Drosophila melanogaster: one gene and its partners. Changing the gene in region 3 together with the main gene of any one other region gives a genetic interaction. Each region holds a gene or a part of one and is shown on either strand. Other genes may lie near its edges.

Evidence for each region.
Region 1: of y (region 3) and su(sable), changing one suppresses a phenotype caused by changing the other (phenotypic suppression), as found in Drosophila melanogaster (one study listed by BioGRID).
Region 2: of y (region 3) and Ask1, changing one suppresses a phenotype caused by changing the other (phenotypic suppression), as found in Drosophila melanogaster (one study listed by BioGRID).
Region 4: of y (region 3) and Top2, changing one suppresses a phenotype caused by changing the other (phenotypic suppression), as found in Drosophila melanogaster (one study listed by BioGRID).

The regions. Positions count from the first base shown.
Region 1 is NC_004354.4:633,664-639,616, reverse strand, and holds the start of su(sable) (suppressor of sable), read right to left. Parts: upstream 3,728-5,953; 5' UTR 3,338-3,727; intron 3,176-3,337; exon of another isoform or gene 3,030-3,175; intron 1,285-3,029; 5' UTR 1,171-1,284; coding exon 897-1,170; intron 837-896; coding exon 601-836; intron 1-600. Other genes in the region: Dredd (death related ced-3/Nedd2-like caspase), read left to right, coding at 4,134-4,223, 4,328-5,071, 5,130-5,492, 5,561-5,715, 5,779-5,911. UniProt on the Drosophila melanogaster protein: RNA-binding protein that suppresses transcription of some RNAs. Together with Wdr82, part of a transcription termination checkpoint that promotes transcription termination of RNAs and their subsequent degradation by the nuclear exosome.
Region 2 is NT_033777.3:19,876,600-19,885,724, reverse strand, and holds the start of Ask1 (apoptotic signal-regulating kinase 1), read right to left. Parts: upstream 6,007-9,125; 5' UTR 5,802-6,006; coding exon 5,682-5,801; intron 5,610-5,681; coding exon 5,415-5,609; exon of another isoform or gene 4,843-5,414; coding exon 4,664-4,842; intron 4,242-4,663; coding exon 3,344-4,241; intron 3,288-3,343; coding exon 2,949-3,287; intron 2,883-2,948; coding exon 2,080-2,882; intron 2,017-2,079; coding exon 1,870-2,016; intron 1,530-1,869; coding exon 630-1,529; intron 570-629; coding exon 297-569; intron 232-296; coding exon 1-231. Other genes in the region: Arc42 (Activator-recruited cofactor subunit 42), read right to left, coding at 6,475-7,448, 7,517-7,726, 7,814-7,847; CG17186 (uncharacterized protein), read left to right, coding at 8,308-8,383, 8,443-9,125.
Region 3 is NC_004354.4:354,089-362,447, reverse strand, and holds y (yellow), read right to left. Parts: upstream 5,940-8,359; 5' UTR 5,769-5,939; coding exon 5,531-5,768; intron 2,832-5,530; coding exon 1,444-2,831; 3' UTR 1,203-1,443; downstream 1-1,202. UniProt on the Drosophila melanogaster protein: Controls the pigmentation pattern of the adult cuticle and larval mouth parts.
Region 4 is NT_033779.5:19,447,106-19,456,125, forward strand, and holds Top2 (topoisomerase 2), read right to left. Parts: upstream 6,386-9,020; 5' UTR 6,146-6,385; intron 5,689-6,145; 5' UTR 5,434-5,688; intron 5,211-5,433; 5' UTR 5,181-5,210; coding exon 4,623-5,180; intron 4,566-4,622; coding exon 4,142-4,565; intron 4,076-4,141; coding exon 1,038-4,075; intron 957-1,037; coding exon 633-956; 3' UTR 260-632; downstream 1-259. Other genes in the region: RanGAP (Ran GTPase activating protein), read left to right, coding at 1-133. UniProt on the Drosophila melanogaster protein: Control of topological states of DNA by transient breakage and subsequent rejoining of DNA strands. Topoisomerase II makes double-strand breaks. Essential during mitosis and meiosis for proper segregation of daughter chromosomes.

The DNA of each region.
Region 1 (5,953 bases), 280 kb from region 3:
TGCGGGGATAACAAAGCGGCGTACATACTTAAACCACAAAATATAATTCTAGAATTCACGGGATGGACATCCTGGCGAGGAACCCCAGCAAAGTCTCGGTATCCCCTATAAGAACAGCAGACGTGTTACATTCCACATGGATATTTGCTGCGTTCGCGGTACTGATATAAAGAATACTGTACTGTAATGTCATATCAGATTTAATTTTCTGCTCCTATTCCCTATACTTGGCCTAAGATCCCTATACTTGGCCCTGCCTTGTACACTGACCCAATGTGTTGAAACAAGCTGAACGAGCCATGCAATACTAATCCCGATGGCTAATGATAAATTAAGTGCAGGAGAAGCGCGGAGTTGGGTCGGAACACAAAACAATTGGTCGTGGAACTTGGTCACGCTGGCTGGGTTAACCGCTTCCATGTAACACCCAAGATCAATGTTCTATTTAAAAAGGTAAATATGGTAAAAATCATTTCATAAGTGCCAATCGAAGGCTAGCTACAACTATATAAATCTTGCTCCTGGAGCAGAAGGGTATACTGCATTTGTCAGCTAATGGGTATCTAATAGTTGCATTTGGACATAATGTGATGGCCTCACCTGCTGCTCCTTGTCTTTCTTCTGCTCGCGCTCACGTTCTTTCTTGCGTTTCCTTCGCCTGCTGCTGCGAGTTGACTGAAGAAGGGGATTGGCGGTAGCCAGTCCCTCCCCGGATCCCTCCAAAGACTGATCGCTCGTATCCTGGTTAGACGAACGCATGCGGGGCATTGGGGGCTCTATGCCCTTCTTCTTGAGGGCATTGGCAATCGCCAACTCAATGCTGCTAGCATGGTCATCTAGGGAATACATCCAGATTAAACAAGAAGAATCAATGAAACAACTGAATGAGCTTTCACCTTCTAATGGGCGAGGCTTTTTTGACTTGGTGCTGTTGCTGTTTTGGAGGCAAACGGCATCTGTCGATGGTCCCACGTAAACGACATCTTCGTCGTCATTTTGGTTCTTAGCCTCGACACCCACAAACTGCACATCGTCGTCCCCTACGAAAGTCTTCTTTTGGACTTGGATTTTTGAAGATTGCTGCTCGTCCTCCTCATCGTCGTCGATCTCGCCGTCCTCTAAATCCTCCTCCAAGTCAATTAAGGGTTCATCCGCTAAAGCGACAGACATTATCGATTTGGCAGCTAATCTCTCACAGGATGAGATTGGAATAATTGGTGCCCTTAAAAAAAGTGGCCTCCCTCTTCTGTTGCTGCACTCTTAAGTGTTTGGTATTTGGAAAAGCTGTTGATAAGGGATCGGATTTTGAATACCATATATGGATGCATAAATATGTTTTAAGGTCAAATTCCCAATCTAATCATATATAAGGACGTCTTATAATTTGTCTTAACGTCCAATTACAATATAAAATGGTATCTTAAAATAAAGCAACTGCTAGTATTAACTAAAAAGGTGGAATGTACCATAATACGCTTCTAAGTGAATAAAAACGAATTAATAAATGTAGTTTAATGCCCCTTATTCTTTTTTTCCAAAATCATTCGGGGATTATTTGAATCACCCCATTGGCGGTCAAAATTTTGAACACAAATGAAAGGAATTGGTTAACACTAAAATCAAGCGTTGCTTGAATAAATGCTACATTAATGTTTTTGAGGTAAATACAATATAAAATGGCTGGTATCACAAATGACTACGGATTCAGAAGGCACGTCCAAGTACTAGCGACAGAAACTATTGACTTAAGATAGACCACCCGGATCATACGATCCTGATGCATTCAGTCAGAGTCACTTTGTAGCGTGGGCAGCATGGCTGCGATGAATGTTTTGGGCACCCTTCCTTATCTCAGCACTCGGAAAGTTTGAGCACTTTTCGCTGACAATGGTTGGATTGCTCTTTGTTGGTTGGTTTAAGTGGGATCGGATCGCTTAGGTTTAGCCTGGCACTTAGCTAGTTCCAAAGTGCAGCAACAAAATAATAAGCAAATCAGTTTGATGAATTAAAGGGTATGGGTCCTGGACATGCTTCCAGTATAAAATAAAAGTGATCAACAAAGTTGCGCTAGCACATTTGTTGTGTGGAGAGAACGAGAAAGGAAAATACACTTTTTACAATTGGCTTAACATAAAGATTCAGTTATACGTAGTTTTGGACAGCGAAACAAATTCCAGAATCCGAAAAGCGAAAGTCGAAAGCAACGGAGTGGCTTTCCATTGAGCCTAGGAACAATGGGGAAGTCGTAGGCGTTTGCCTTTATTATTGTGCGTAAGCGGAGTGAACCGTTATGAGCCACACGCGCATATGTACATGTGTATGTAAATGCTCGTAGCATTGTACATATGGCGCGGATGCGTGTATATATTTGGATGTAGCTGATGGACGGAATCATTGCGATTGATGAAAATAACAAAATCCAATGCGTCTCACACACGTGCATATAGAGCGCGTGTTTAGTTCTGACTCGCGATTGCCAAGCATGTCGACTCGCTCGCACACTCATGATCTAAGCAGGGCATACACACACACAGCCGAGGCGTGCAGTGCGAGTGCGCGTGTGTGTGTCGACTGCGAGGCAAAATGTTTTTGTCTTTGTTTATACATACATACATATATTTTACAGCGACTTCAAAGCGAATTTGAATATAATTGTTACACTTGAGGTGAAAGTTTTTGTTTGGTTTTCGGTACGATTTGTTTGAATGCTCTGTAAATGGAAGGCGTTCATGCGTGTGGCTTCCCTGCTGCGCAGTTTCCACTTGCATATGTACGTACATACGAACAGCAAAAGAAAAGCACGCAATTTATCTTTTTGTTTGGCTGGCGTTCCAAAATCAAGTGTATGCAATTTAAAAAATTTGCACCATCTGTCCCTTTCTAGCACCCACGTACGTGGGCGTGGGGAGACATGGCCCCGAGAAACATACATACATACATGCATACGCACACATGCATATGCATTGAAGTACATACAAAAATCTGGGAACTACTTATGCCATACAAACATTTCATTTGTTCGATCTTACTCTCTTAGCGTGACTGCTTTATGCTTTTTTGTGGAACATTAACAACTTTTCGGTATTTGTTATAACATTGCTGTTCGGTTTTCGGTTTATAGATGGGATTTTGTTGGTTCGTTGTTTTGCATTTCGCATTTTGCTTTTCGGATTTTCTGCTTTAGTGTTTTGTTTGCGTCGCTGCTTACATAATGTGGAAGTGGTACAGTAGGTGGATAAATATATACATATATATAGAGGCATACATGTATGGGATATAGCAGTGGCCTCACATAGATGTGTATATACATGCATATGTATATATATGTTTGACATACATCTGACTTATACGTATTTGATGACGAAGTGGTTGTGAGGTACATAGATAGGTACGAGACAAATCGTCGAATTTTTCGCCAGTTTTCGTAAATCGAATAGCGGCTTTAGTTTTTTCTTCTGATACTATATGTATGTACAGATTTATATATATGTGCGTGAGGCAAGCGCGCGCTCTCGCTCGCACCCGCTTGTAGCTTGCTTTCGCCCTCTTTCTCTGCCTGAGGGCCCCGTATCTCAGTATCTGTCCCTTTCTCTCTGTCTGTCTCTGTTACGCTCATGGACAGAATACAATATACAAAAACATTAAATTAATAAAACTTTTCGTCCAAAACATAATATTCAGGAGTTGTGTTGTTAACAGTTCAACAGATCGACTTAAACGAACTAGAGGTGTGGAAACATAAAAATACCAGTACATCGATATTTTTCGCAAAGAACATATCGTCGTGTTGGATGATATTAGTTAATCGATGTTTTTACCTAGTATATTTGGTATTTCCCCAAAAACCGTGAACGCAAGCTTACTTTTAAAGCTAAAGGCTCGCTGGCTGCGACATTTTTAAATATTAACCGATTGTTGAACCGGTTGTTAAACTTCTATATCAAAAAACTACATCATCTGTTTCTTAAGTATAATTAATAGGTAGCACCCCGATCTTTCGCTATTGCAGAAAACATATCCATTTATCGATATCGATCGGTGGAAGCTCTTCAGGCCACGGCTATCGGATGTCAGCGAGTGCAATTTATCGGCCATTTCCTAAAGTGAAACATTTTTGTATATTCCCGATCGCCATGGCCGGATCAAACCTGTTGATTCATCTAGACACCATCGATCAGAACGATCTGATCTACGTGGAACGTGACATGAACTTTGCCCAAAAGGTATGGCACCTCCCTGGGAGGACTTTTCGAATATGACTCAAATGTTTTACACATCCGCTAGACCAAAGTGTTAATTAAACAGTAGAACCTTCGTTTTCTTCTAGGTGGGCCTCTGCTTTCTGCTTTATGGCGACGACCACTCGGATGCCACCTACATTCTGCAGAAACTTTTGGCCATGACACGATCAGACTTCCCGCAAAGTGATCTACTCATAAAGTTCGCCAAGTCCCGGCCAGAAACCTGGAGAAGACATCTCGTGGAGGCCCTGTGCATTATTGGGGCCCGCAAGGTGCTCCGGAGACTGGGTTTCTGCTGGCAGGAGCTGCGAATGCACTACTTGCCGCATATCGCTGGGATCACGCTGCATGTCCATCCTCTGTTGAAGAGCCTCTACAGGATGTGTGAGGAGTTGTCGTTGGTGCAGAGTGGCCGCTTGCTCCTAGATGTTCGCGAAAAGGTGGAGAGCCAGCAGGCAGGAGATCCACTTCGCTTCTACGATCCCGCGTACCTGGAGATCTTTTTGCTGGACTGGCTGACCAGAAGGAGCATAAAGTTAGGGGACATAAATGCCGCAGGCAGCGATGTTCAGCTGCTGGTCGGCCATTTGAAGTCCAACGGTCTGCAGGCGCAAGCAAATTTGCTCAAAGACACCATCATTAGTAACGCTCCGGAGCCAGATGCGGCTGGCACTGCTGCGATGGCAGTCAAGCAAGAGATTGAATCGGATAACCAGCAGTCGTACTGTTCCACACAAATAGATGCTCTTAAGTTGACCCGGGAGAACGCAGGAATCGCCTTGATTATCAACCAGCAGAAGTTTCACCGGAATGTTAGCAGGGATAATATGGTTTCATCTCTGCAATATTGAGTAACAAAAAGAAGTACAACATTGCCCTTCTCCACAGAAATTTCTGTCGCCCGACCCACTGCGTAGACGGGATGGCACGGATGTGGATAAAGAACGACTAATCGAGGTGTTTTCCTCGATGGGATACAATGTGGAGGCGTACGACAACGTGGATCACATGGGCATCATAGAGCGCATTCGCAGTGCGTGCGATAGATCGCTCGTGCGCGATTCCCTAGTGGTCTTCATCCTGAGCCACGGCTTCGAGGAGGCCGTCTACGCATCCAACAGCATCGCCATGAAGATCACGGATATCGAGGACTTGCTCTGCAGCTACGACACCCTGTACTACAAACCGAAGTTGCTAATCATACAAGCCTGCCAGGAGAAGCTTGTCCATAAAAAGAAGCCAAATGAGCTCGTAAGGAGATTTATAAGCATGAAGTCGTCGAATGGGAAAGCCTATACATTTTCGTATTCCTCTTTCAGTTTAGGATAGACGTGACCACCGTGTCGCCGGACCAGCACATCGACATGCTGCGGGCCATGTCCACGGTAAATGGATATGCTGCTCTGCGCCACACCCAAACAGGTAGCTGGTTTATCGGGAGCCTGTGCGATGCCATCGATCGCCGTTCCGCCAGGTAAAAAGCTGCCAAAGCAAGCTAGCCCCGAATTAATGCATAAGTTGTTCTTTGTTACTTTAGTGAACACATCGCCGATATCCTGACGATTGTCACCAACGAAGTGTCTAAAAAGCGAGGCAGTAATGACGAGTCCATGGTGCCGAATGTTAAAAGCACATTTCGCCAGCACGTGTACTTTCCACCTCGTCTGTGATTTTGGTTTTTAACGTTAGCGCAGTTGTACGTCCACTCAAAT
Region 2 (9,125 bases), on a different chromosome or scaffold from region 3:
CTGCACGAATCGTACTCGCTTTCGCTTTTCTTGATTTTCGTTTTGATGCCCGGCGTTCCGGGAGTTGTGGTTGTGGGTGATGGTAGCGTATTGTTGTTGTCAATAAGCGCAAAAGAGCTATTGCCTCCAATGGGTTTGTGGTAAGTGCTTGGTGGACTGTCCACACAATCGGACGAGGTGCACACACGTTCTTGTATAATGAGTTTCCACAAACGCACTTCGATGCCAACGCTGCAAAATACCAAAAGTTAGTTGAGCATGGATTAAGTGTACTTTTCTTATAAGCTTTAACGCACCGCAGACCCAGCCTCATGAGGTCCAGCTTTTCCATGTTATAGATAAAGTCGTCAAATGTAAAACCTTCATTCAGGATGAGCGTCTTTGAGAACTCGTCTATTTCCTGCTGGGTCAACCACTGCTCCAACTGCTCGTCTACTTCGTGAAGACCAAAGTGATGCTTGTTTAGCTGCCTCCGGGGATTGCCCGCTATATTCGGACGGACTCCGGACGTTCCGCCCACACTGGTACTCATTCTATGGCACTTTTTGTTAAAGCCGTTTATTGTGCGTCTGTTAAGATGAAATTGTGAATTATAATAAAATTTACAATGTCCTACTTGGTTTACCAACCTTAATCTCTTTCTGCCGCCCATGTAAATGTGAGCCAGCTCCTGACTGATATTATGCAGGGCCCTCATGCTCTGCCGCTGCTGCTCAAGGAGCTGGCGTTGCAGCTTCTGCTGATTGTCACGGATGTCTCTCAGGATGCGCGCGCACTCCATCGAACTGGACAGAGCATCCCCGCCCGATTCCGCAGGCGTTAATCCCACACCTTCGCGAGTGTTGCTCGTGGGAAGAACTTTTTCCAGGCTCTGCTTTTCCTGGCTCTCGGTGGAACCCTTCTGCATTAGACTTGTACGCAAGCTCTCATCATCATTTCCAGACAGGTCTTTGTCCGCCAGATTGGCGCCCAGTTCAGGAGAGAAAATAGTGACCGCCGCCTGGACGGCCCGCTTAACCAGATTATCCAATGCGAACATCCAATGGGGTTTGATGCAATGGTACCGCAGTACGCAGACCACGGCGTCCTGAAAGGAGTACAGCGCCAAATGAAGATGGTCCAGAGCAACTGCGTCGTTGTTCAGCTTTTGTTTCAGTTCGTTGATAGTCGCTTCCAAATGCTTTTCGTTTTCGTTCATAATGTAGTCCCGCAGTCCTCGGATTAGAACCTCCAAATCGCTTTTCCTAATCGCAATCGAGTTCTGATCAGCGTCGACCTTCTTCAGCCAAATATCGCAGATCTTGGATTCGTCTAGTGCCAGCACCTTGGAAAGCGTTGTCCGCCTCTGCGAATCCTTTTTAAGCCTGTAAAAACCGTCAGTCTCGCTCGTCTCACTAATGCTCGTACGCAAGGACGGCGTGGAAGGTTCAATCTCTGGCGAGAGCAAAAATCCATGGGAATTTCGCCGTTCAAGCATAAACTGGTTGCTGGGCAGCTCGTCAATGTCCACCGAGGATGAATGCGTTATGCTGAAATAGGAAACAGAAAGTACAATATAAAATTACGTTTATTTTACAATACATCAAGTGCTATCTCTTCTCAGTATCAAAATCCGAGTGCGCATTTTCCAATCATTAAATATGCACTTTACTGATAGCAACAATCAATGTGTTAACTACACGATAAGCAAAGGCACTTGTTACTCTTATAATAGTAGACGATATGGGAAAATATAGAGAAGCACGGAAAAATTTTTATATTCATTAAAATTAGCAAAATATAAATGATAATTTTCAACAGATAAGATAACCTCTGCTTGTAATTGAGGAAGGTCGAACATGATAAGAATAGTCGCAGCGTTTAACTTACTCCAATTCCGGCGTTGTGGGCGTATTGCAGGTTGTGTTGTAGCTCAGCGGCGGTGTGGTTTTGTGCACAAACCGATCAGCCGGCACCGAAATGCTGCGTCCGAACTCAGTATTGATGGGCAGGGCTGGGCGCACCTTGCGGGGTTTACTTATTGAGAAAATTAAAAGTGCAATTAGAAAGGAATTAGGCAAAACAATTAAGCAAACTCACTCTTGTAGGAAGGGATCTTCCAGAAGTTGCGAGGCGGAGGGTCGGTCCATCACGCTGATGGCAAAGCAACGCAAAATAAAGTTCTTTGCGTTGGCGGACAGCTCCTCGGGTATGTTCGGATGCTTCTTGTAAAAGCCCACCTTGAACATGGCCGCATGGGCGCTACCCAGCTCGATAAACGGTGGTTTGCCCGTAGCCATCTCAACGTTTGTGCATCCAAAGGACCAGATGTCAGCCGCCGGGCCATAGCCGCGTACTCCCTGGTCAATCACCTCCGGCGCCATGTACTGCAAGGTGCCCGTAAAGGTCTCCGTCATCGGGTTGATGCGGGCCAGCCGCTTGGAGGTGCCGAAATCGGAGATCTTAACCACGCCGCTATACGTGTTAACCAGCACGTTGTCACCCTTTATATCGCGATGAACAATGTCCTGCTCGTGAAGGTACTTCAGCCCCTCGAGGATCTGCTTGGAGTAGAAGGCCATGGTGGACTCGTTGTCCTTGAGCGGACCCCATTTGGTCTCTAAGAGGTCGGAAAGCGATCCTCCCGGCACCTGCTCCATGAAGATCTTGAAGAAGCCGTTCTCCGAGCACGATCCCAAATAGCGAACTATGTTGCGATGTCGCAGCTGAGAGTGTAACTTAATCTCCTCGTGCAGTGGCTGCACATCCTGCGAGTTCTTTTCCGGCACCTCCTTAATGGCGATTCGCACCTGCGTCTGCTTGTCCCTGGCGGCGTACACGGTGCCATAAGTACCTTTGCCCAGCACCATTTTGCGATTCTGCTCATCGTAGTCGTACTCGTACTACAATTAATAATAATTAGCAAAAGTGGCCGGAATATATGTATATATGAATAATAAATAACTTACCTCGATATTAGCGTCATCATTGCTGAGATTGACAAACACCACCTGATCTGCAGTCATCTCCAGGATCATATCGTAGAACTTTTGTCGTCGTTCAGTGGAGGGAAAATATATTTGAAAATCATCTGAGTTGTGATGGACGTACAAGTAGGCACAACGATCATCCCTCTTGTAAAGGCTGACGGACTTGATCTTCGATGCCACGAAAAGGAAGTCGTGGATTTTCTTACACGCATTCTTTGCGTGAGCCAAACAGATGTTCACAATCTGAATGGACTTCTCATCCGCATCCATGTTTATAGTCACATAACTGGGCATATAAATCTTCTGAGGCTCGAGGATCTGGAATTTGTTTTGAGTTAATAATAAAGCTTAAACTGCAGATCAGGGGTACCAACCAGAATCGGAAAGCGAATGCTGTTCTTAACCTCCTCGGTGTTGGTGGCCTCCAGAAAGAAGTCCATCCAGAACTGGAACACCTGCTCCTCGATGGGCGGCTGGCGTTCCTCGGGCTTCTTTCGAAATCGATGTATAAGAGAGATATTTCCGATGGTCGACTTCAGATACCAGTTGGGTGGCTTTAGCTTGAACATGCACTCGGCAGCTTGAATCGCCTTGGCGTAGTCGTTGGCCAAAACGGAGATCTCAAAGAAGGTGGCCACATCCCAATACTCACTCAGCGAGGATAGGCTGCCCTTTTTACCGATTAAATTGTTTAAGGTCATGCCGATGTGCTGCAACTCCTCCGTATTGGTAAACTCCTTGCCCTCGATAACCAGCAGAGTAGCCAGATTGATGCCTGCATACTCATTCGGCTGCACCTCAAAGCTTTGGCGGTACCACTTGATGGCGTGCGCCAAACTGGTGGCGTCCGTGTAGTCGGATTCCACAAAGATGTCCTTGTAGATGCGGCCGCACAGGCAGAGCATGTCCGGAAAGTGGTTCTCCTTCTTTTCCAGCGCCTTCAGCGAAGATTCCAGAGCCTTTTCACGGTCTCCCTTTCGATTTCTTCGGTTCAGGGCGAAGGCGTACAGGAAACTCATGTTGCCCGTCTCCACGTACTTCCGGGTGTTGGGTATGTTCTTCAGGTCATTGACCAGTCGCACCATGGCATCGTAGTCCTGCACATCCCTCAGCGAGCACATGAAACTGTGTACCACTTCGCCAGACAGGACATGCGGATCGTCCAGCCGCTTTCGCATCTCGTGCAATATACTCTGCAGCTTGGCGCCGTTGGTGGCGTACGTGTCCCGCGCCGTTCGCATGTCACTCAGAAATTTCTCACGCATGTGGGCTCTGTAAATAACCGAAAATAGCTTCGTTTAGTTTTTAGGTACACAAATAATGCATAATAGGAACAGTGTTTCGTGCTCTGGCTGAAAGACTAATTAACTTAGCATCTATCTGGTACACCAAATTTAAGATTTCAATTACTTTCATTTCATTACTTGTTAACCCGTAGTAGTATCACTAAAGTTCGAAGTAATTTAAATTGAAAGGACAATTATGATACTATAAAGAGACTTAAGAATTTTCAGCGATTATTGATATTTTATATGCAATTCCAAGGCCAACACAATAAATCGGTCTGATTCATTTTAGATGCAGGGCGTGACTTTTGCAGCCAATCTGCCGCAGGGGATGTTATAAATAGTGTTCCGATATGCAATCACCGTGCATGACTTACTGCAAAAGGGGACTCCCTAGATTGTACTCACTTCGACTGGATCTCAACATCTTGCAGCTTTCGCTTGAGGCGCCACTGCAAAGTGGGCACTCGTCCTTCGGCATTGGGTTCCTTGCTGTTGTTGCCGCTGTTGGGCTGGCTGGTCAGGTGGCAGGAATTGGTCTCCGCATTCCGCTTGTAGCTGAGAAACAGGTAGTTGGCACACGAGAGCTGCAAGGGGAGTAGAGTGTACCTAATTTAATGACCGCCACTGTGAATGCAGGCCACGCTGCGTTGGTGTACACCGTGCTGTTAGTGTGTGCGTGCCTCTTTGAGTGTTTGCGTGGGCGTGCTCGCATTTGTTATTGTTATTGCTGGGCCAATGCTTTTGTTGCTTTATGGCCGCAGCCAAAACAAAAATAACGAAAACGATTCGACGGAAATACAGTCGAACTTCCATAGTTCAAATTATTGGCTGCCATATGGGAAAGAGGTTTTAGTTATTAACCTCTGGAAAGAGGAAGTTTTTCGGTTTCTTTTGCAATTTGCTAAAGGAAGACTAGTAGATAGAATAATTTTTAGTCATTTTCCAGAAAGAGGTGTCTAAGCACCTAGGTTAGAGACTTGTTATAAACTCAGTTCGCGTTGTGGAAGCTCGACTGTAGAAAGATCAGCAAGAACAACTAGTCCAGGAGTCCACGCAGTTGCTGGTCATAGCATTTATCTTATCGGAAGCGGATTCCCGATCACGAACGCAGATGTTTGCCAGGCACGCCCGGCCAGGTAAACACTTCCGAACGCACCTTGAGACTGAGCGTCTGCTTGGAATCGATGTCGTTGTAGGTGAGGATGTTCTCCTTCATCCCGAAGCTCTCCCTAACGCCGTAGTGATAGGAAAGCGGCCGCTGCTGGGTGAGAATGCTCAGGTCGATAATGGCCACATCGGCGTTGTAAAACGTCTCCAGCACATTCGTCTCGCCGAAGTCCAGGCGCTCGAACTGCAAGGATGCCAAGTGGGGGGGATGTAAGTCAAATCACCCATATGCCATTGTATAACCAAGCTGGCGCACCTGAACCCGCTGAAAGTTGGCGCCCGCCGACTGCACTGCCTGCTTGATCTCCTCCAGCGCACACTGGCGGTCCTCCAGATGGTCGCCCACCGCCGTATCCATTACACACACCACATCCATCGCTGTTTCCATCGCAGCTATTCTTGGCACTTTTCTGCTCTTGGACGGATTTCGCGCACTTCACGCGATTTCTGCACTTTCTGGACGGCCGACACGCGCAGCTCAGTGGCAAAAACTCTCATTACCACGTTCCTGCTGCACTTGCATCGCGTTAATTACCGCGTAACGAATAATTATCAAATAAATAAAGAAACTTTTTGCTTTTGCTGTGTGACCGCTGCACAGCTACCAGCAATATACCGAATGAAGTCACAAAAATACCACACAAATATGCTAACCGACAAAGCCTTGCTGCAGTTTTGGCGCCAAGTTCCCATTTTTTTGAGTCATTTAAAATTTGGTTTAAAAGATATAATATAATTAGGCATATAAAATAATAAGCTTTGTTTATAAATATATTTTAAAAGCACTTAAGGTTCATTATTTTAATTAATTTACAAATATGCAACGTCTAAAAAGTAGTCAAGAGTTTCACTTATTTTACTTTACTTTTTGAACGAAGATTTATTGTTTTGCTAACTTTTTCTAAAGAATTAAAATGTTGTAGGTGTTTTTTTCATGTATTTCTATCTATTATAAACAATTATACAACTCAATAGAACTAGCAAAATAGTATATTAAAAACGTTCTTTATTAAACGAGACACAAGTAGTACGGATATATAACTTTGATCTTAACTAGCATATTCCTTTAGAATGGAGCCCGCGATCACCAGTCGCTGGATTTCGGAGGTGCCCTCGTAGATCTCAGTGATGCGGGCGTCCCTGTAATGACGCTCGGCCGCCATGTCGGTCACGTAGCCCATTCCGCCCAGGATCTGGATACACTGGTGGGAGCACAAGGTGGCCGCCTCCGAGGCAGCCAGCTTGGCCATTGCAGCTTCTTTGGTGTAGGGCTGCTTTTGGTCCTTCAGCCAGGCGGCGCGCCAGGTGAGCAGACGTGCCGACTCCATGGCCAACGACATGTCCGCGATCTTTTGCTGGATGGACTGGAGCTTGGCAATGGGCTTGCCGAAGGCCTGTCGCTTCTGGGCGTAGTCCACGGCCAATTCGAGGGCAGCCTGACCAATGCCCAGCGCCTGGCCAGCGATTCCTATGCGGCCGGCGTCCAGCGTCTGCATGGCAATCTTGAAACCGAAACCCGGCTCGCCCAGCATGTTCTCCTTGGGCACCACGCAGTCCTCGAAAATTAGCTGGCACGTCGAAGATCCCCGGATGCCCAGCTTATCCTCCTTTTTGCCCAGCGAGAAGCCCTTGGTAGCCTTGGGCACAATGAATGCGGAGATGCCCTTGTGCTTCAGCTGCTTGTTGGTGGTGGCGAACACAATGGCTGCCTCCGCCTCGAAGGCATTTGTGATCCAGGCCTTGGTGCCATTCAGCACGAAGTGATCTCCCTTGTCGGTTGCTATGGTGGAAGCAGCTCCAGCATCGGATCCGTTTCCAGGTTCAGAGAGCGCGAAGCAGCCCACTCGTTCGCCGGTGGTAAACGGTGTGATGTAGTCCTTCTTCTGGGCATCGTTTCCGAAAGAGAGAAGCGGTCCCAGATACAGGGAGTTGTTCACCGACATGATGACGCCAGCAGAGGCACAGCCCCTTGAGATTTCCTCCATGGCAATGGCGTAGGCCACATAATCCAGTCCAGTGCCGCCTGATTAACAATAAAGAGATACAATGAGATACTATAAGGAGGGCTGAGGTGGGCGTAATATTAATTACCCAGCTCCTCGGGAATCGCTACTGCCATCACGCCCAGTTCGCCCATCTGGCGGATCTGTTTCTCTGGATACAGGTGCTCCCGATCGAACTTGGCTGCGTTTCCACTGAGCTCATTGTTGGCAAAGTCCCGGCAGGACTTCTGCAGCATCTGGTGCGTCTCCGAAAGCGCCGACAATGAGGCAATTTGACGAGCATTTAAAGATCTGCGGGCTGAATATCAATATCTGGTTTAGGATCTTGCTTATAGAAAACATTTAAATGGCTGGGGCTCAAAGTCCACACATCAGTTTGTCTTACCAATGCATAACGAGCGGGTGAGTACTGATTGCATGTTTGTGTGGGATTGCCTCTTACTAATAATAATTAAATATATTGCATAAAAGACGGATAAAATGTTATAAAAAAAACTCTACTATTACAAAAAATTAAAAATGGACAGTGTGACCAGAGGAGGTCACCGGCTGCATCTGCATGTAACAAGTGGTTCATCACAGGGTGACTCTTGTCCCGAATTTAACAAGTCGTCTTGTTACTAATTTAAAATTAAAATTAAAAATTACTAACTTTTCACTCATACGAAAACACTGATGGGTACTTTTAAAATGAAATAAACATAATTCCTAAGGTGCACGGAAATAAGATCCAACATGCCGCCTGAAAAATACTAAATTCCCAAATTCGTAAATTCTCGCGTGCATTCTACATTTTCAAGCTAAATAATGTTGGTACCATCAAATAATTGTTGATTTGTTTAGTTATTATTAAAAGAACGCAGACCAAACGAGGGAAATATGTCGCAGACATGCCAGAGAACGGAAACACTGACGATAGAGGCTCTAGATTTCATCTACGAGGACGAAATGGAATGTGAGTACCAATGAATACCTAAATGCCGGCTGAACTACGATTGATTTCGCTTTTTACAGACTTGCACCTAAAACAAGCGCCCAGAAAGGAGGAGCAAGTCAAGGCGGTGAAGATAAAGCGACTGACTTGCAACATAAACGGCTGCACTTACTCCACGGACCGGAGAAGAGACTTGAGGCGCCACAGGCGGTCGCAAAAGCACATGCTGCTGGAGTCCTGCTCTGACTCCGAGTCTGAGGTGGAATCGTCACTGTTCTCGTGCAACGTCTGCGGCTACAAGACCGCCAAACGGTATTGCTTCGACCGGCACAAGGAGTCGAGGCGCCACATAATGAAGGAGCAGGAGGAGTGCGAGAAGCTGATGGACGAGGCCGAGAGGGCGGAACCGGCGGTAAAACGCATAAAAAGAGTAGAGGAGCCAGCGCCCGCGGATGCGGAGAAAACACGATACACGGAAGACATCCTGACCACGTGCACGCCGTGTGACTACAGCACCACTCGAAAATCTCAATTCGAGATGCAAGCAAAAAGCCAGGCGAACATCGAGGTCGTGCAAAGCCAGCTGGAGGCTAATGAATACATACAGTATCTGCCCCAGGAGCAGGAACAGATGGTGGAGCTATCTGGGGAGTCTGGGGAGACCGAGGACGAATACCTCGCCTACAAGAAGGAGTGCAGGTGCACCCTGGAGTGCAAGCCCTGCGAATACAGAACGGCCAGGAGATTCTGCTTCGTTCGGCAC
Region 3 (8,359 bases):
TTGTTCACTTTTGGCGTTAAGTGCTTCGCACAGAATGCTTTTTGGGACTGTCCGTCCGTAATCACAAAGTATATAAATGCTGCCTGCTCTTTGTTCCTCTGTTTGTTTTTCGACAGTTTGACAAAATGCCCCGCCCGAGACTGGGAATATCAACAGTCGCCTGGTAGTGTAAATAAATAATTGCCGATGCACCGAAAAAAAAGCTCTAAATTTTGCCTTATGTGTATGTATGTATGCTGCAATTTCAAACTCATATTTTAAAGTTTGATTCTTCAAACTAATATGCACCCAAAAACAATTTTTATTGGAATTGTTAATTGTTAATTATGATTTTTAAAAAAGTGCTTACTAATTTGATACTTTCGAAAGTATAATAAATATTCTTTCCACGTTATAAATGACATATATCAAATGTCATAATATATTAAATTTATACTTTATAAAATATTTTCTTTAGTACATTTACATTTGTAGCATAAACAAGAGAGAACGCTATAGTCGAGATATACAATTTGCATGTATCTATAATGTAGAAGGAATCATAATGTTGTAATACCCATCGGATTTCTGCGCAATAGATTTGTATCATTAAAACTATTAATTATTATTAAATACATTATCACTTTCCCTGATTACACAACAAGGTGAAACTAAAAGGCGAAAATTAAAATACACTAACTAATATTGCGTATAAATTTACTAAGCTCTGTTTCAAGAACATTTCCGATATGTAAAAATTATATGCTTCGTCTACCGTTGTGCGTAAAAAAGGAAGCATTCTTTTACCATGCGTATTTTTTGTTTTATTTTTGCTGTGACCAAGAGTATGCAACACATAATATATACTGGCCAATAGAAGTCCCTCGCAAAAAAGTAGGCAATACAAGTAAGGAAATTAGGAAAATTGTAAAAAAAACACGATGACTGATGTGTGGTTTAATCAACTGTAGGTAGAGCTCTGACAACCCCAACAGAAGAAAGTAGGGATAGTAGCAGGTGGATCTAGCTTGCAGAAAACTAAAGTGATTGCTGGCAACCTTTTCTGATTTTAGTTGTGTTTGTGTATGTTCTCAAGTCCTATGATCCAGAAGATGCGAAACCCATCCATATGACAGATCTTGTGCATAGCTTTATCAACCTACTTTCTTGCCTGGTAGTAGTACTCCAGAAAATGTACAGTTGTTGATATATTTAGAATTTATGCATACTTACATTTTTTCCGCTTTTTCCGCTCAAGAAAATTGCGTAAACTCTTAACCTTCAAAAAAAAGTTGATTTATTGTTATTTTTTGCTTAACATAACTAGATAAAGTATTGATTTGCCACTTGCTCATACGTCATGTGGTTTTTTTAACCGCTGTTGCCCTATGTTGTTGTCTTTAAATATTCTTTACATCAATCGAGTGTGTGAGAATATACCCAAGTACCGTGTGTAGGATTATGTTAACCTTGATGCTGATGATGCCACCACCCAGATTGGCGGGCATTCACATAAGTTTTTAACCCACCATCCTGGCCACCCGGTTGGGCGGGTTGATGGGTGGGAAATAGATGGGGACCACTTGTCTCGTAATTTATGCCGTTGTGCTGGTTGAAAATATAGGCCTTTGGCACCTCCACTCCTGCAGGACCCACAGAATTTGTAGAGACACTAATACTGGAGACTACATTGCCTGAATTGGCGGGCAAATAAGTGCGACTTGGAGGAGGCGGCGAGGAAGCCCAGCTGGTCTGAGGTTTCTGTGGCAAGACAGGACGATATTGTTTCGTATATAACGGTGGACCCATTGGCAAAACGGCTTGTTTTGGTATTGAAACGGTATTTGGCGGCCCATAGGCGTTATTCCTCAAATCACACACAGTATTCTCAATTAAAGTGGCCAAGGGAGCCGTGTAAATTCGGAAATTAGTATCTGAATAATCCAAGTCAGACAGCAAGAAAACGGGCATCCTATCGGATAGAACCCAAACGTTTTTGTTCTCATCAATTTTCACATCGGCCGGAAAAACTAAGCCAACGTCATCGCGATCCACAATGCCATGAAATTGCGGTGAGTACGGCATTGATGAGTGCCAGCAACCCACTGCATTTTGATCTATTAAATTGAACAGCTCAATTCCATCATCGCTCATCACACGTGAAGTGGTATGGGAGTTTGGACCCCGTTCATCTAAGGCAACAAAGTCATGATAGCTATCTTCCGTCCTGGTTTCATCCCTCAAAATCCTCGTGGATACGGCAAATTGTCGATGACTTGCTAACGGACTAAAGTACAGGGTACGATAACCATCCGATCGAATGGGCGAAAGGGACATACCAAATATACCCTCCTCGCCCCATTGGAAGTTAATACCAGCGACATTGAAATCGCCCCTCAATGGATCGGGGAAAAAATACGAATGTGCCGAGAATCTCCAGGACTTGTTCAGTTCCCAGGAGTAAGCAATCAAGCCGTATCCCAATTCATCGGCAAAATAGGCATATGCATCATCGCAATTTTTGCCTATATCCACGGCAATGTTAGCTATGAAAGTATTTGGATTTGTGTCCACGCCAGGTAGCTCGTATCTCCGAATTCGCGTATCCGTGGTCAAGTCAAAGACATTTACCGCATAGGGGCACGGATTAGTGGTGGTATTGCCGATGCCCACGGTTCCAGTGTCCAAAACCCACAGCCGACCACACTCATCCACTTTAATGCGGTAGGCAGTGGTAATACTGTTGGCGCAATCTCCAGCTGTATTTGAGCGCCAATCTGGATACGGAATTAGCTCCGGTGAACCCGTCAAACTGCGGTCCATGTTTATATAGGTCAGAGTGGCCGGAATCCCTAAAAAATAAAATAGGAGAATTAGCAGGGCCAAACTATTATTGAGGCACTAAATAAAGTTTGTTTTGAATATTTAATTAACTGGAATTTCTGCCTAAATTCCTTCTTTGGATTATTATACTAAGCAATGTTGCAAGTTATCGCTGTCTGTTTTCTGGATAATATGTAAATGCATACAGATGTAAAGGTAAATTAGAATCGCTTATGTTTGGCATTTAATTATTTATATACCTATTTGTCATTATTTTGGACACAAGGAATCATAAGCAATGGTAACTGCCGTGCTAATGGCTCTTTTTTCTGCTTGTACATCTACTGGAAGTTTATGTTAAAAGATCCCCGGCTATATGTACTTCAGTCATAATTGGCACTATTGCAAGTTGCGTGCAATTTGCGATGTCATTAGCCGTCTGAAGCAATTGCGTCTGACATCATTATCAATATGTATACCATATATCGCTGTTAAATGTATATGTGGCCATTGGCAGTATTTCGACCGATTTCCGCTCCAGTTCTTTTCCTTCTTTATTTCTTCGTTAATTGAATTTAAAGACATTTATTGTTTCTGGGAACTTTTAATGTTTTTATAGCAGGCGAGTGAGACTGCAACGACCAGAAAATATAGCTTTTATCGATTTACCGACCCATCTTCTTAAAAATCAAACCAGGCGTTTTTGCTTTACAAAGTAACCGGGGGTTGCGATAAATATACATTTGAGCATAATGCACCTTTCAATCTTTATTTAATTCATAACTTTTAAAATAACAATCTAATTCAGTCAAATATAAAGTATTTGAACAAATTTATATTTTGACATGTGCTCTTTCAGTCCTAAAACCTCGCAACTGACAGATTTATCTGCTTCATGATTTTCAACATTTTCATTGTAAACAATTTTTTCGACTGTCTTGAGGTTCTCCTTTTCCAAAGAAATATGTCTCAACATTTTTTTCATTCAGATATTTTTTCTAATCTTATTTGTAATTAAGATGAACTTTTAGCTTGGAATGGGCCGCAAATATCGTTGATGTAGTAGTTTATGCGTTCACTCGTTGACAAAAGCTAAGTTGATCAACTATCGAGTAGCTCAATTGACTGGGGTATATTATTCAATGGCTGGTGGCCTAATGAATCTGTATGAAATACGTGAGCTGAGTCGATATCGGAAAATGTTGGCAATTCTGTGTTTTAGTTTCAGAATCGGATACAACTTCCCGATCGGAATCCGATTTTGATTTTGATATTTCACACTTGATTTTAAACAGTAATCTTGTCCCGTAGCTAGTTGTCGCGATAACCATGGGCTTTTTTAAATCAAAATTTATTTACTCAAATCTTCATAGAATAGTTTTTCCAATTGAGCCCAGCATTGGTGGTCAATGATAATATTTATAATTAATCATACCCCATAACTGTCACTTATAGGTATTCTGTAGCCTGTTGTTGCCACTACCGATTTGCTTTGACTAATTGATTTGCTTCGATGGCCATTGAAGCATGCCTTTAAATGTTCCACTTTGCCACAACTTTCACTATGTTTTGTTTGCCGTAACTTGGGGTTTATTTTTTGCCGATTCGGCCTTCTGGGCTATTATTTCATTGACTGGAGGTAGTCAGTCGATATCTTTTTAAAAAGAGACCTCAAGGCTGGGCCAGAATATTTTGATATACTTAATAATACAATACCATTACATTATAAGTGACATTAAGATATCCTTGAAGAGCGTGTTTTTTTAAGTTTAGTCAGAAGTTTGGGTGTTTCGGACTGCTTAAGAACATATGTACAAAATTTATTAACATCGCCGTGTTTTTCTGTGTAAATACCAATTGTAAGCCATGCATAAAAACTAATCAATCATCGAAAGCATTCCTAGACGTACTGAAGTATTTGTATGCGCATCATATAATCTTAGCAATTGGGTTTTTTAGTTTCATTGCTTTTTAAAATTTCCTAGTTTTGTGTTTCAACTATTTCATAAAAATTTTGATTATTGTGTAAGCCAAATAATTTTGAAGCAAAATCATTTGTGTGATTAATAATAAAACGTGAGTCACAGAACAATGCCTTCGCATTTAAACATTTCGCCACTCTTACATTTGTTGAACTGACAGCTAATCGTCGGTTAATAGCTAATGCCATAAGTTATTGTTTGTGATTGGATTTCCATTTCTATGTGGCGGCCCTGAAGAAGTCTTTACAATTCGGATGGTAATATAATACAATTTAATACAGTATAAAGCCAATGCCATGCTATTGGCTTCGATTTTACAACGGTTAATTGTTTAAAATGTTAAAATAACGCGCAGGTACCAACCGGATTTATGAGAGGTCGCCACGCTAAAACCTTTACATGAGGGTGCTCTCAAAATATATTGTCATATTTATTCCTCTGCCAAAATGGTGAAAAGGCATACAAATAAAAAAATACATTTTTCGTCTGTACTAGTTTAAAATTAAATTGTACAAAACAATATTATTTTCTAAGAAGGGTAGAAAGACAAAAAAATGTTCTCCAAATTCTAAAATAAATAACAAGCTCTTATTTGAATACCTAAACTAAATGAATTTTGTGTTTTTACATCATGTCAAACAAGCCATATAAAACTGTCAACCACTCAATCAGATATCTCTGATGCCCTAAGTAAGAATGTCCCATTTACGATCTCCCCAAGGGCTTCATATTTAACTTCCACTTACCATCACGCCAGCGGGGAACAGTGACGAATAACCGATTGCCAAAGTGTTCGACTCCAACAGGTAGAGCATTTTGCGGAATATAATCTCCACTAGCCAGAGCTTGGTCCTTTAGTCGGGTATTCGGGAAAGCAAAGTCCAGCTGGCTCCAACTATATCGCTCCTGAAGTTTGTAAGCAGCCCAAGACGGCGTCACCAAGGTGATCAGGGTCACAAGGATCCACCCTTTGTCCTGGAACAGTGCACTTAGCTCTAAGCTGACAATCACTCTTAACACTTAAGCCAAAGTGTGTTGGCAATAAAAAAAAATATATTTGTTTATATATGTTCAGCTATAGGGGGTTCTTCTCTAGCCTTCGGCTGTGTGATATTTTTTTAATCCTCTTCTGTGGACCGTGGCGCGGTAACGACTGGTGGCCATAATATGTCGGCCGCGTTTTATATGAAGTTTTTTTTCTCCGAAGACGAAGACAGGCCAATGAAAATGAAAACGAAGGCGCGCGCCAACTTCGGTGGTTTTAGTGATTCGGGTGGTTCAGTGTTCGGGTAATCAGGTGGCTTATGCTGTTCCCATAGATCGGCCAACTTTGCGTTTTGTCTTCCATGATTGATTTTCACGCATGTTTAATAAATACACTCGAATCCCCCAATTTAATGAGTCAGACATCACCTTTCGCTGGGTTTGGTATGATTTTTGGCCTTCATCGACATTTAAAACTGCGCTGATTTGTGCCGAAATACCTTTCGGTACCCTAAAAGATTAAGACCTATTTTAAAGTTGTGACTACTATTTATTTAATTTTAGGGACTTTATTTGACGATCTAATTTCAAACAAGTAAATTGTAAGGCCAGGAGGCTCGTGCATAGAATGCATTGCTCTCCAAATTTCTGAAAATCTGAAAGCTTAATACATGACAGTTGTGTTCTGAGAACAGTGTTCATCTTTATCGGCGACTGCAAAAAATGTTCTAATATGATTTTTTAGTTCAATTCATTAAAAAAATCAAATCAATATTATATGAAATACATGCAGACAAAAATCCAGAAATATCAAATAAATCGTTATTATAACGTGTACTATGTAGAGTATTTAAAGCAGGTGTTTCCTTGTATACTATTAAATTGGAACTCGTGCTCGTTTCAATTGCTTAGGATTGGATTTCGATTGGGCGTCACCGATGATTCACAATTCACTGAGGGTCAAATATTTGGTTTCCGCTAGTTATTGGCAGGTGATTTTGAGCATACATATACATAAATATAATTGAGTGTTACATAAAATTTCAAAAGGGACGAAAGCGCTTTTAGGTAATTCCACTAGCTGTTATTTAAAATATTGTGGTCCCTGAAAATCAACTGGATGTTGGGGGTGCCCTAAGTGGGTAATGCTCTAATGACCATCGCCGCAAGTAAATGTTAAAAATTCGAACCGAAAGCGATCGCATATATCTCTTGGCCCAAATGCACCTGCTTGCTAAAGAAAAAATTGCAAAACTTAAGTAAAGTAATACAACCAGCCACACGCATAATAAACATGCAAATGGGTAAAAATACGTTTTACGACCTCCGCAGATAAAGTGGTTTGCATTAATCCTCAATAATCTACACTTTAAATAAGGAAAACCTCTCAAAATATTAAAATACAAATTAAAGAATGCCGTTTAAATTTAATCTTATTTCTTCGGATGTCTAAAAACAATTTCAAAGCTAATGTAACCATTACTGCTATTGAATTTGTGTAGTTTTTGGACTCTATATCATTTATGCAATGCTATTTTTTCTTAGAAGTGGTTCAACTTGATCCCTTGCCCGCATTCTAAATCATTGCACCCACAGAAAAATAAACAAACACGGTGTGGCAATCGAAAAATATGTTGCACAAAATTACCGGCAATGCTGCTCGAATTTATTGCGATCGGCAGGCTTATTAAAAGACACACTTGAAATAACCAGTACAGTTTTATTAATTAATTGTGTGTGTTGTGTAATGAAATGGTGTATTTACTAAAAACGCAACTAATGATGCGATCGCTGCAGCCGTTGAACCTATAATTTTTTTCGAATTGACTTGTTTTCAAGTTTTTGCTTAATTGTGTGGGGGGATGCTGCGTTTGTCTGTTTGGTTACTGTTTTTCTTTTTCGCTTTTCAGAGCTTGCGGCAATGATTTATACGCACTTTTCCCAATAATTGAAACAAGTTTTCTGCCCCAGCACAAAACAAAACAACATCAAGCGGAGCGCGCTAAGTGGTCAAAAAAAGCTTCCACAAATCAGATCTCTTTGGCATAATTGACTAACGCTTATGCAACCGACCGGCAACATTCGACATTATTTACACACAGGATCACTTCAACTTGGGCGGAAAGCAAAGCCGAATACCGCATGACATTGCCCGACCCGTGTTTCATGTTTTATTTTCCTTATTCCCCACTTATGGCAGCCTGGACATTATCTCCCTCCCTCCCCTCCCCCCTCCTACACTAATTTGGAAATCCATCGTGACTGCAAAACGAAAAACCCGTTGCTCAACTTCTCTAACATAAGCGGTACACAGCATTTTCCGTTTTGTGTTATATATTTTTGTGTTTTTTTTTTTTTCAAGTTCAATGTCCATGGCCCTGACCGCCGGGTCCCCTCCTTTCGAGCTGGGATTATTTGGCATGGCCAAATTCGGAAGGCCGCGATCACTTCCCGCTTACACACAATTGCACATGTCCCCATGACATGCACTGCGCTCAAACTATTAGTACCCCTTAGTAACTTAAGCCAAATTAAAAATAAGTTCATTAATATAAATAAAATAGTCAATTTCCACTGTCCCGATTGAATAG
Region 4 (9,020 bases), on a different chromosome or scaffold from region 3:
GGAGGTATTCCATTCGGACTACGATGTCAAGAACTGTCGATTTGCTCTTCGCGAGGCTCTCAAGCAACCAACGTTTGCCAACGACAACATTAAGAATTCCTTTAAGACTTTCCTGGAGGGTGCGGAGTCGTAAAGAGAATTAGAGAAGAGATTACCTTTATTTCCCACTTTCCGATTTGTGTAGCTTTCGCGAATAAAAACGTATTATTCCTAACCCGTAGTGGTGTTTTTTTTTTACCCAAAAAACCAATCGAAATTTAATGTATTAGCCATTCGGCAAAAGTGATTTATTTACATGAAGAAAACTCGTATGAGACTACAAACTATCTTTATGGAACATGTTAATACATCGATATTACGTTTGTAAATTCCTCTTGGTGGCTTTCTTGCTGCTCTGGAACAGAATCAGCTACAGTGAACGAATGTAGCGAAGTGTTTATCTATAGTTAATAAAAACACGAATTATAAAACATTGACGTTAACATCGAGGAGAACATTGAAAGATTATAAAATAACGAACGATCGTGGCGAGCAAGTCCGCAAAAAAAAGTGCCTCCTCGAGATTCTCGATGCGGATAATGCTGATTCTAAGAGTCCATCTTCTATCAATATCCTGTGTGGAAATGTGTTCCTTAACAATTAAAATCAGAATCATCATCATCATCTTCATCAATCTCGATATCATCATCATCGCTTTCAATTACAGCTCGCCTCTTCTTGGGCGGAGCTTTCTTTTTGGCTCCTCCACTGCTCTCATCCTCTCGTCCACGCTTAGCTGGACGCTTGGGCGAATCATCATCGCTGGCATTGCCATCATCATCAGAGCCAACGTTGCCACCGTCTTCCTCCTCATCCGAGAAGAGCGAGCTGTAGTCTATCTTCTTACTGGCCTGTCGACGTCCAGGACGCTCTGCACGAGGAGTTACTTCCTCCACGTCATCGTCGCTCTTTTTCGCCTAAAGATGAAAAATATTAATTGACAATTAAATACAGATTTGGGTTTAAAAACAAATATGGGCAATTACTGAAACACTTACCTTGGCCTTGCTGAAGTCAATCTTGCTCTGCTTGAGCCCGCCGCCGTTCTCCTTCTTTTGGCGCGGCTTTTTTTCTCCCGGCTCCTTCTTGACAACCGCCTTCTTGGCCTTGGGTGAGGTCTTAGAGCCGCCCTCGACCATTGCATCAAATTCGTCCACCTCATCGCCGCTGGCATCAGGTTCGGCTTTAATCTGCTTGCCCTTCGGTTCCTTCTTCACTTTTGGCTCCTTGGGCTCTTTGGGTTTCTTCGGCTCCTTAGCCGCCTGAGCTACCTTGGCAGCCGCTGCCATTTTCTTAATGATTTCTTCGGTGATCTTAAACTCGACGGGTTCTCCATCGGGATCTGGGAATACGTCTCCGGCACCCGCTCCGCCTCCCATTGACTTAACCTTTCTGCCCTTAGCTGAGGCCGACTTCTGGCCCTTCAAAGCCTTCGCGGTCTTGAGATTGATCCCCTGCTCTTCTGCGCGCTCCTTCTCCTCTACTTCATTTAACTTCGATTCGAGGGCATCCAAATCATCCAGCCAAAGCATCTCCGGCGTCTTCTTGCGCAGACTTTCCAACTCGGACAGTTTAGTGTCGCGCTGTTTGAGTAGCTCGTTTTTCTTCTCCTCTGTCAACATCCACATGGACATACCCAGAAGGTAGTCAAACTTTTTGACATCAGTTAGTTTCTTAAAGGCCTTTTCCGGATCGACTTCCTTTTCCTTCTTAGCCTTTGAGCTGACACTGGGAGCTGCCTCCTCTTCTTCTTCGTCCTCTTCGTCAGCTTGCTCGGCATCCTCCATTTTAATGCGGCGCTGCCACTCCTTGACGGGATCGGGACGATATCCACGCTTCAACAACTCATCACACATGGCCTTGCGCTGCTTGTTCTCCACCACCAGCTTCTTCTCACACTTTTCGAGAATAAAGCGCGCCTGATCACTGAGGCGATCAGCCTGCGCCGTGAGCTGGCCGACCAAAAAGTCCCTCCGGCGGGCGTAGTACTCTCGTCGCAGTTTGTAATACTCTTTAAGGATATCGATCGCGGTGGGGAAGCGTCGCAGACAGTTGTTCTGGTCGAACGCATGCATCTGGTTGGTGGACAGCGTCGTGGTAAGTTTGAACACTCGGTAGAAACCACCTTCTTCTGCATGAATGCGCTCAAATTCTCCAGGTGCGAAACTGATCACAAAGCGAACGGTGGTGTCTGTATGATACTCCCTGTACTCGGAAATAATACCCTTAACCTTTTCGGTGCCGTTTGATAAAGGCTCCAGGACATTTTCCTTGTAGTTTTGCGTCCATACGCCCACAGGGAGTTCACTGATTTCTAAACGGTTTCCGGACAAAATTTGAATGTTACCAGTCTGAATATAACGACCATCCGAAACATACTCCATGCGTCCTAAAAAGTTCTTGTACCACGGATGCATCACACTTGGCTCTTGTCCGTTTATCATCTTCCTTAGATTTTTCATAATCTCACGAGGATTGTAGTTGGATATCTTCGTGGACCATCCAGTTCCTATGCCCTCGGCTCCGTTTACCAATACCATCGGTATGATGGGCAGATACCATAGTGGCTCGATCTTTTGGCCATCGTCCACCTGGTAATCCAAAAGTGGATCGTCCAAAGGATGGTAGATGAGTCGCGTCAAGGGAGACATTATAGTGAAAATGTAACGAGCGCTGGCGCAATCTTTGCCTCCCGACAAGCGGGTACCAAATTGACCGCGTGGCTCAAGCAGATTAATGTTGTTGGCACCCACAAAATTCTGAGCCAGATTCACGATTGTCATCTGTAGGGATACCTCTCCGTGGTGATAGGCTGACATCTCCGCCACTGATCCGGATAGCTGGGCCACCTTCACCTCACGCTTGTCATTCCTCTTGAAGCAAGTGAACATCACCTTCCGCTGACCCGGCTTCAAGCCATCCACCAGACTAGGAATGGAGCGCTCATTGTCAGCATTCGAGAACAGCACCAACTCCAGATTGATAAAGTCTGCATAGGTGATGCTCTTGGTGCCCTTGGTGTAGAGATATCGCTCTGGCAAACCGAGCTCCTTGCGACGCTTCACCTCGTCCATGTGGTTGGTAAGCCATACCTTTCGCGACTCGATGTGCTTCTTGGAGAAGGCCATAACAATGCTCTCATCATCCACCGATCCATCGTACTTAAATAAGATGCGATGGCGATCCATGTCTTGAAAATACTCTTTCGCCTCCTTGGAGGTCGAAGTACCCAAACCCTTATAGTACTTTATATTGTACGTATGGTGATTAGCTGTATCATTTTTCCACTCCTCGAATTCGGGTAGCGAGTAGAATGACAGCTCCTCGTTTTTCTTGGTTGCCTTCACAATTGGTGTAATGAACTCCTCGAGGAAGGGCAGACGCAGAAGCTCTGGCCAATTGGTGTGGATAAAGTTGATCAAGAGACCCTTGATGTGGGAGCCATCCTGATCCTGATCTGTCATGATCATCACTTTGCCATAGCGCAGAGTTTTTAGATCGTCCTCAGTGAGGTACTTCTTTTTGTATTGCAAGCCAATTATCTTGCATAAATTGTTGATTTCGGCATTCTCCGAAAGCTGCTTGAAATTAGCTTCCCGCACATTTAGAAGTTTACCCCTAAGCGGGAACACGCCGTAGAGATCTCGTCCGATCACGCCCAAACCGGATACGGCCAATGACTTGGCTGAGTCTCCCTCGGTGAGGATGAGGGTGCATTTAATCGAGTTCTTTCCACCCGCCTCGTTAGCGTCCTCCAGCTTGGGAATGCCCTTGATCTTGCTTGACTTGCGACCGCCCGTCTTGGCAATGTCATTTTGGGCCTTGAACTTGGCCCATGCCAGCACAGACTCCACGATGCCAGACTTGGACATGTTGTTGATGAACTTTTCCGAGAGGGTACACTTGGAACCGAAGCCCTTTTGTTGCAGAGTCATGTTCTCCTTGGTCTGCGAGTCGAAAGTGGGGTTCTCTATCAAGCAGTTGACAAAAACCCACAGATGGTTTCGGACCTGGAATGGCTTGATGTTGATGCCACCTGGAAGAGGTTCAAAGCAAATATTAGTTGTTGTTTAAGAAAATACACATTTTAAGTTAAACGTACCTTTGTTCTTTTTCTTCAGAACCTCGAGCAGCTGCTTAATGAGATTGTCTACCACATGGTCCACATGCCGACCGCCCTTGTAGGTAGCTATCGAGTTGACAAACGAGACCTGTTGGAAGCCTCGATCTGAAGGACAGCAAGCCACCTCCCAACGCTCGTTGGCAACCTCGTGGACTATCTTGATCGGTGGGCCAGAATCGTCGTCCGTGTTCTTGATGTGCAAATCAATATAGTCCTTGAAGTTGCGTACACCCAGTTTGTTGCCGTTTAAGAAGACGGATACTCCCTTGGATGAGGCGGCCACATCGTAGGCGCGACGCGACATTAGAGCCACAATATCTTCATCGAGACGGTCCATCTTGAACTTGGCCAGATCGGGACTGAATGTGATGCGTGTGTAGTCAGTGCCATTGAAGTCCTTGATCTGTGGGTTTACTGAACATTAGATGATGGTCTAAAATAAGAAATGTTATTTCCTTACCTGCACATCGGAGGCTTTTCCCATGTTGTTTCCCCAAGTCTGCTTGAAACTTTTCTTGTATTCCCTCGTGGCAGTCTCAACGGTGAAGCTGGTGGAGAATATGTTGCAGAGCTTCGCTCCGTATCCGTTCCTGCCGCCAGTGACCTTCTTCTCATCGTCGTTGTAGTTCGACGAGGTCAGCAGATGACCAAAGATCATCGTTGGAACGTACATCTTCTGCTCCTTGTGCATGGTCACCGGAATGCCCTGGCCGTTGTTCCACACGGACACCATATTGCGCTCCGGATCGATGTCGATCTTAATGGTGTTCATGCTCTTGTCTCGCTGCTTGTTATCTGCCGCATTCACAAGAATCTCGTCGAATATCTTGTAGAGGCCGGGCACGAAAGAGATCTCCTTCTGCACCATGCGGTTTTGGGAGTTGTCATACACCCACATCAGCTCCTTGGTGAACTCCACGGATCCGATGTACGAGTCGGGTCGCAGCAGGATGTGCTCCAGCTGCGACTTCTTCTGGTACATCTGTTCGATGGACAGGGCCTTGTTTCCGTTCTCCATGATGCTTCTGTCGCTGTGCTTTAGCTGAATCTTCAAAGAGTAAGCAAAAGGCATTTGTTAATGTAATATTAATATTAATAACTAATATTCCGAGCCATTGCCTTAGCTACTATTAATCACTCGTCCTGCGTTCTACTAAGTAAAAAAAAAACCAAAGCTACTAGCAGAAGACTACAGTACCCACCCAGTTAACAGTTGCTATTAGTATATTAGTAATATTATGTTCACGTTTTTTTTTTAATTGTTATAATACCAAATAAGATAGATGGCACCCAATATGTTTAATGGCCTCTTAATAACGGGGATGGTTGTGCGTTGGCATGTGATGCCAATGCTGCTGATGCTGCTGTTCAACAATTTTTTATTAATGAATGCGCACTGTACCCACGGTGAAAAAAAAAAACAAAACGCGCGCCCGCGCATTGCGTAAATGCCGTCCAGACAAACGCTGCAATGGAATGGGACTTGGCCAACATGGGAAATGGTTGGGTACGTCAAACAGAAATAACTGCAGATAAATTGAAAAACGTCAAACTAAGTATTATTTTGCCTGGTGCTACTGTACTGGGAACAGATTTTCAGCACACTTTGAAATACATAACAGCCCTGTCTCTTTGGCGGCAACGCTTGGCGTGCGCCGTCTGTTGCGTGAGTGTGCGTGTTTATTGGCGTTTGCCGGTAGTCACCGCTATTTATTATTTCTTATTAAGGTTCTTCGAGGGGTTTCACTTTATAGTAAACAAATTCAGGCCTACATACGCGCTCCGCGCTACAAAATCAAAAAACTATGGTTTTTAAAGGCCCAAAATTAGCTAAATGTCTATACCGGTATCGCCATTTTTAATTTGCAAGCGACGCCACCGAAAAATTGCTATATCCATCATATTAAAGGATTAATTAGACAGGGCTCTTAGGTTCTACGGTACAGCCAATTCTACGATTATGATTCAGCACTTTCTGCTTACCTGGTTAAAAAATTGCCAAGTATTTGTGGCCTTTTCTTGCTGCCGCCGACAACCGAAGTGCGGCAAAACTCTATGTTGCAGGCGATACACGAGGCGGTGCACTACAATTTTCGACTTGTACGTGCCCCACGCGTCTGCTGCCTTTAGCTAAAACTTGTACAGTTCTCAACTAACTATTAAAATACGCACAGCACATTTAACAACTTTTCACAACCGACAACAAATGAGAAGTATTGCTGGTTTTAGAGCTGGCAAGGCGCACAAATCGATGTTTGAATGAAATCGCTATCGATAAGTCCCATAACAGTGTTGTTTGGGTTGGTGCATACGCTCATTGTGAACAGGGCTAAACTAGTAACTGCGGTCGGTGACTCCGCTAAAAGCGTGATCGCCAAAATCACGGTTTTTTAGTTCTATCTCAATCACGTGATGAGTTAAGCAACAGTTAATTCTAAAAAATTCGAAGGTAATAAATAATAATAACATTTTTGGGGTTAAATTCTTTTTCGAGTCGAAAGTAGGGGTTTTAATTATTCCAACTAACATTTCTTCTATTTTTTACATTATAAATCGGCATTGAAATAAATGTAAAAAAGATAAAATATTTCGATCTAAATGCAAATTATCAAAAATTTAAGACAAAGTAAAACCATTAAGAAATTTATCCTTTCATATGCTTAGTATTGTATCCCACATCAATGTGATATACAGCAATTACTTAAAATGAAATGAAATGAAAAATTGCTGCTAAAGTTGCATTTGTGCAATTAAATTTCGCACCGTTGAAGTGAAGATTGCTTTTCAATTAACCACCTGGTAATATGAATATTCCAAAGCCAAGACCATGGCTACAAGAGAACTGGTTTTCTTTCTGCCATTTTGCCTGACCTTGCCCAACACGACGTCATAAAGGGGCATGTCCCTCCCCATCCCGTTGCGATTTTCATTCCGGCTCAGAAACATGTTTTGAATAGTGCAAACAAAATATAAAGATTCTGGATTCATCCGAGTTACTCGGAATTTCTGCTTGGGTAATGGAGAACCCTTCACGCAGTGACGTCACCGGAGCTCATTGAACTTGCACAGCATCGAATATCGTCCAGAAATATTCTCTACTCCTCCAAATCTGTTGATTCTCGTTTGACAAGCATCAGCAAAGATCTCTCAATATGCGGAGTGCAGTTTGTACCCTGCCAAATTGGGAATTTCAGCTGATGCATGGGAAAATTGTGAACTAGCGGAGTTAAGTGCAGTTTATTCCAGGATACTATTAGCAAGTTGAACAAGATGTGAGCTAAAACTCCTAAGATTTGGTAAGATAAAAAGATAAACATAAGTACTACAATTAGCAATTAGTTTCTTTTTTTTTTTTTTGAATAAATTGTATGTATATGTATTGTTAATCAACAAATTTTACTTAATTGCGTTTTTAAGGGTGTTTGCATCGTCGTTTCATCGAGCTGGCTCTCCCTATTTTCAGATGCTGGTTTCTCGTTCTCGCATACTGGTTTATAGTCATAAGTGCTGCGCTTTTTCTCGACTTTTTCCATTGAGACTTGTGTTCATAAAATCTTCTGTTCTAAGCGATCCCCAGCTCAGTTTCATTCCAAGCTTCTGCGATGCCACTTGTGTGCGATCTTCGTTAAGTCGGATTCCCCGTACTGCAAGCTGGAAAAAATAGAAACCGTGACCAGAAACAGTAACCGCCACTCGGATTGGATTATTACCTGGTAATGAAAGTGAAGACCCCGAGCTAATGGGGCGATTTAAACAGGTGTTTAAAGGTGCAGGTGGGGCTGTGAAATAATCGCTTATTATCAAACACCCTAATGGGGGGCACTATTATTGTGATTATCTTGGGATTATCAAATCCATGTAGACAATTAACGACAACAATGGCGAGTTCATTAACACTTGAACCGAACTACGAGTATGTATGTGCTGGGACTTAAGCACTGCAATCAGGCGTACTTAAAAGTGCATAATGTGTAATTAGTTGGAATTTGTTGAATATGATTAAATATTGACCCAGGCACTTTGCACGGCCACCACGTGTGAAATTTGTGTGTGCTGCACTTTGAGATCGCGGTGGCATCATCTCACAGTATCTGCCAAATACGCGTCGAACTCACACAACGCTGCACCGCACAGACCCCAAGCGACCCGATTAGCCATTGGCGAACTGGGAACGCGGCGGATAATGCCTTATCAGGCAGTGGCTCCTCTACAATCGCGGGGTTCACTGGGGGCAAGTTTGGGTCTGGCTCTGCGTTTTGGGGTGTAGGGATAGGAATTGGGAAATCCGGCCAAGGCCAGGTCGAGGTACACCTAACAAGAGCACATATTTTGGGGCTGATGCTGAACACTATGCAATTCCAAGATTAAGCTAGCAATGTAACAATCGGTACTAACCCCCAATTAGTATATATTTATATTATATATATATATATTATTATATTATATTAATATATTTTAAATGATTTTAAAAATTTTAATGATTTCATTTTGCATACATTGTTTTGAAAGTGTACCTACCTAATGTATTGATTGCTGGAAACAACCAACCCAAAGGCAATGTTTCTAAAAACTAAGTGCAGCCAAAACTGAGTAATTGCACAACACTTTACTTATACTATATTGTTTATAATTCTTGTGGATTCCCGCTCCATCAATTAAGTACAGCAGATTCACTAAATTTAGCTCGAGCTCAGTGACACACTGTTATCACTCATCGGCTGTCTCCTTCGCGCTATCGCAATGTTCATTGTTGTTCGGTTTCTAGTTAATATTTAATGGTCGCATACACACTCGTACATGTTTAGCGACAAGTAAAACAGCATTTCGCCTGGGACTGTCACCACTTGGCCCGATTCTG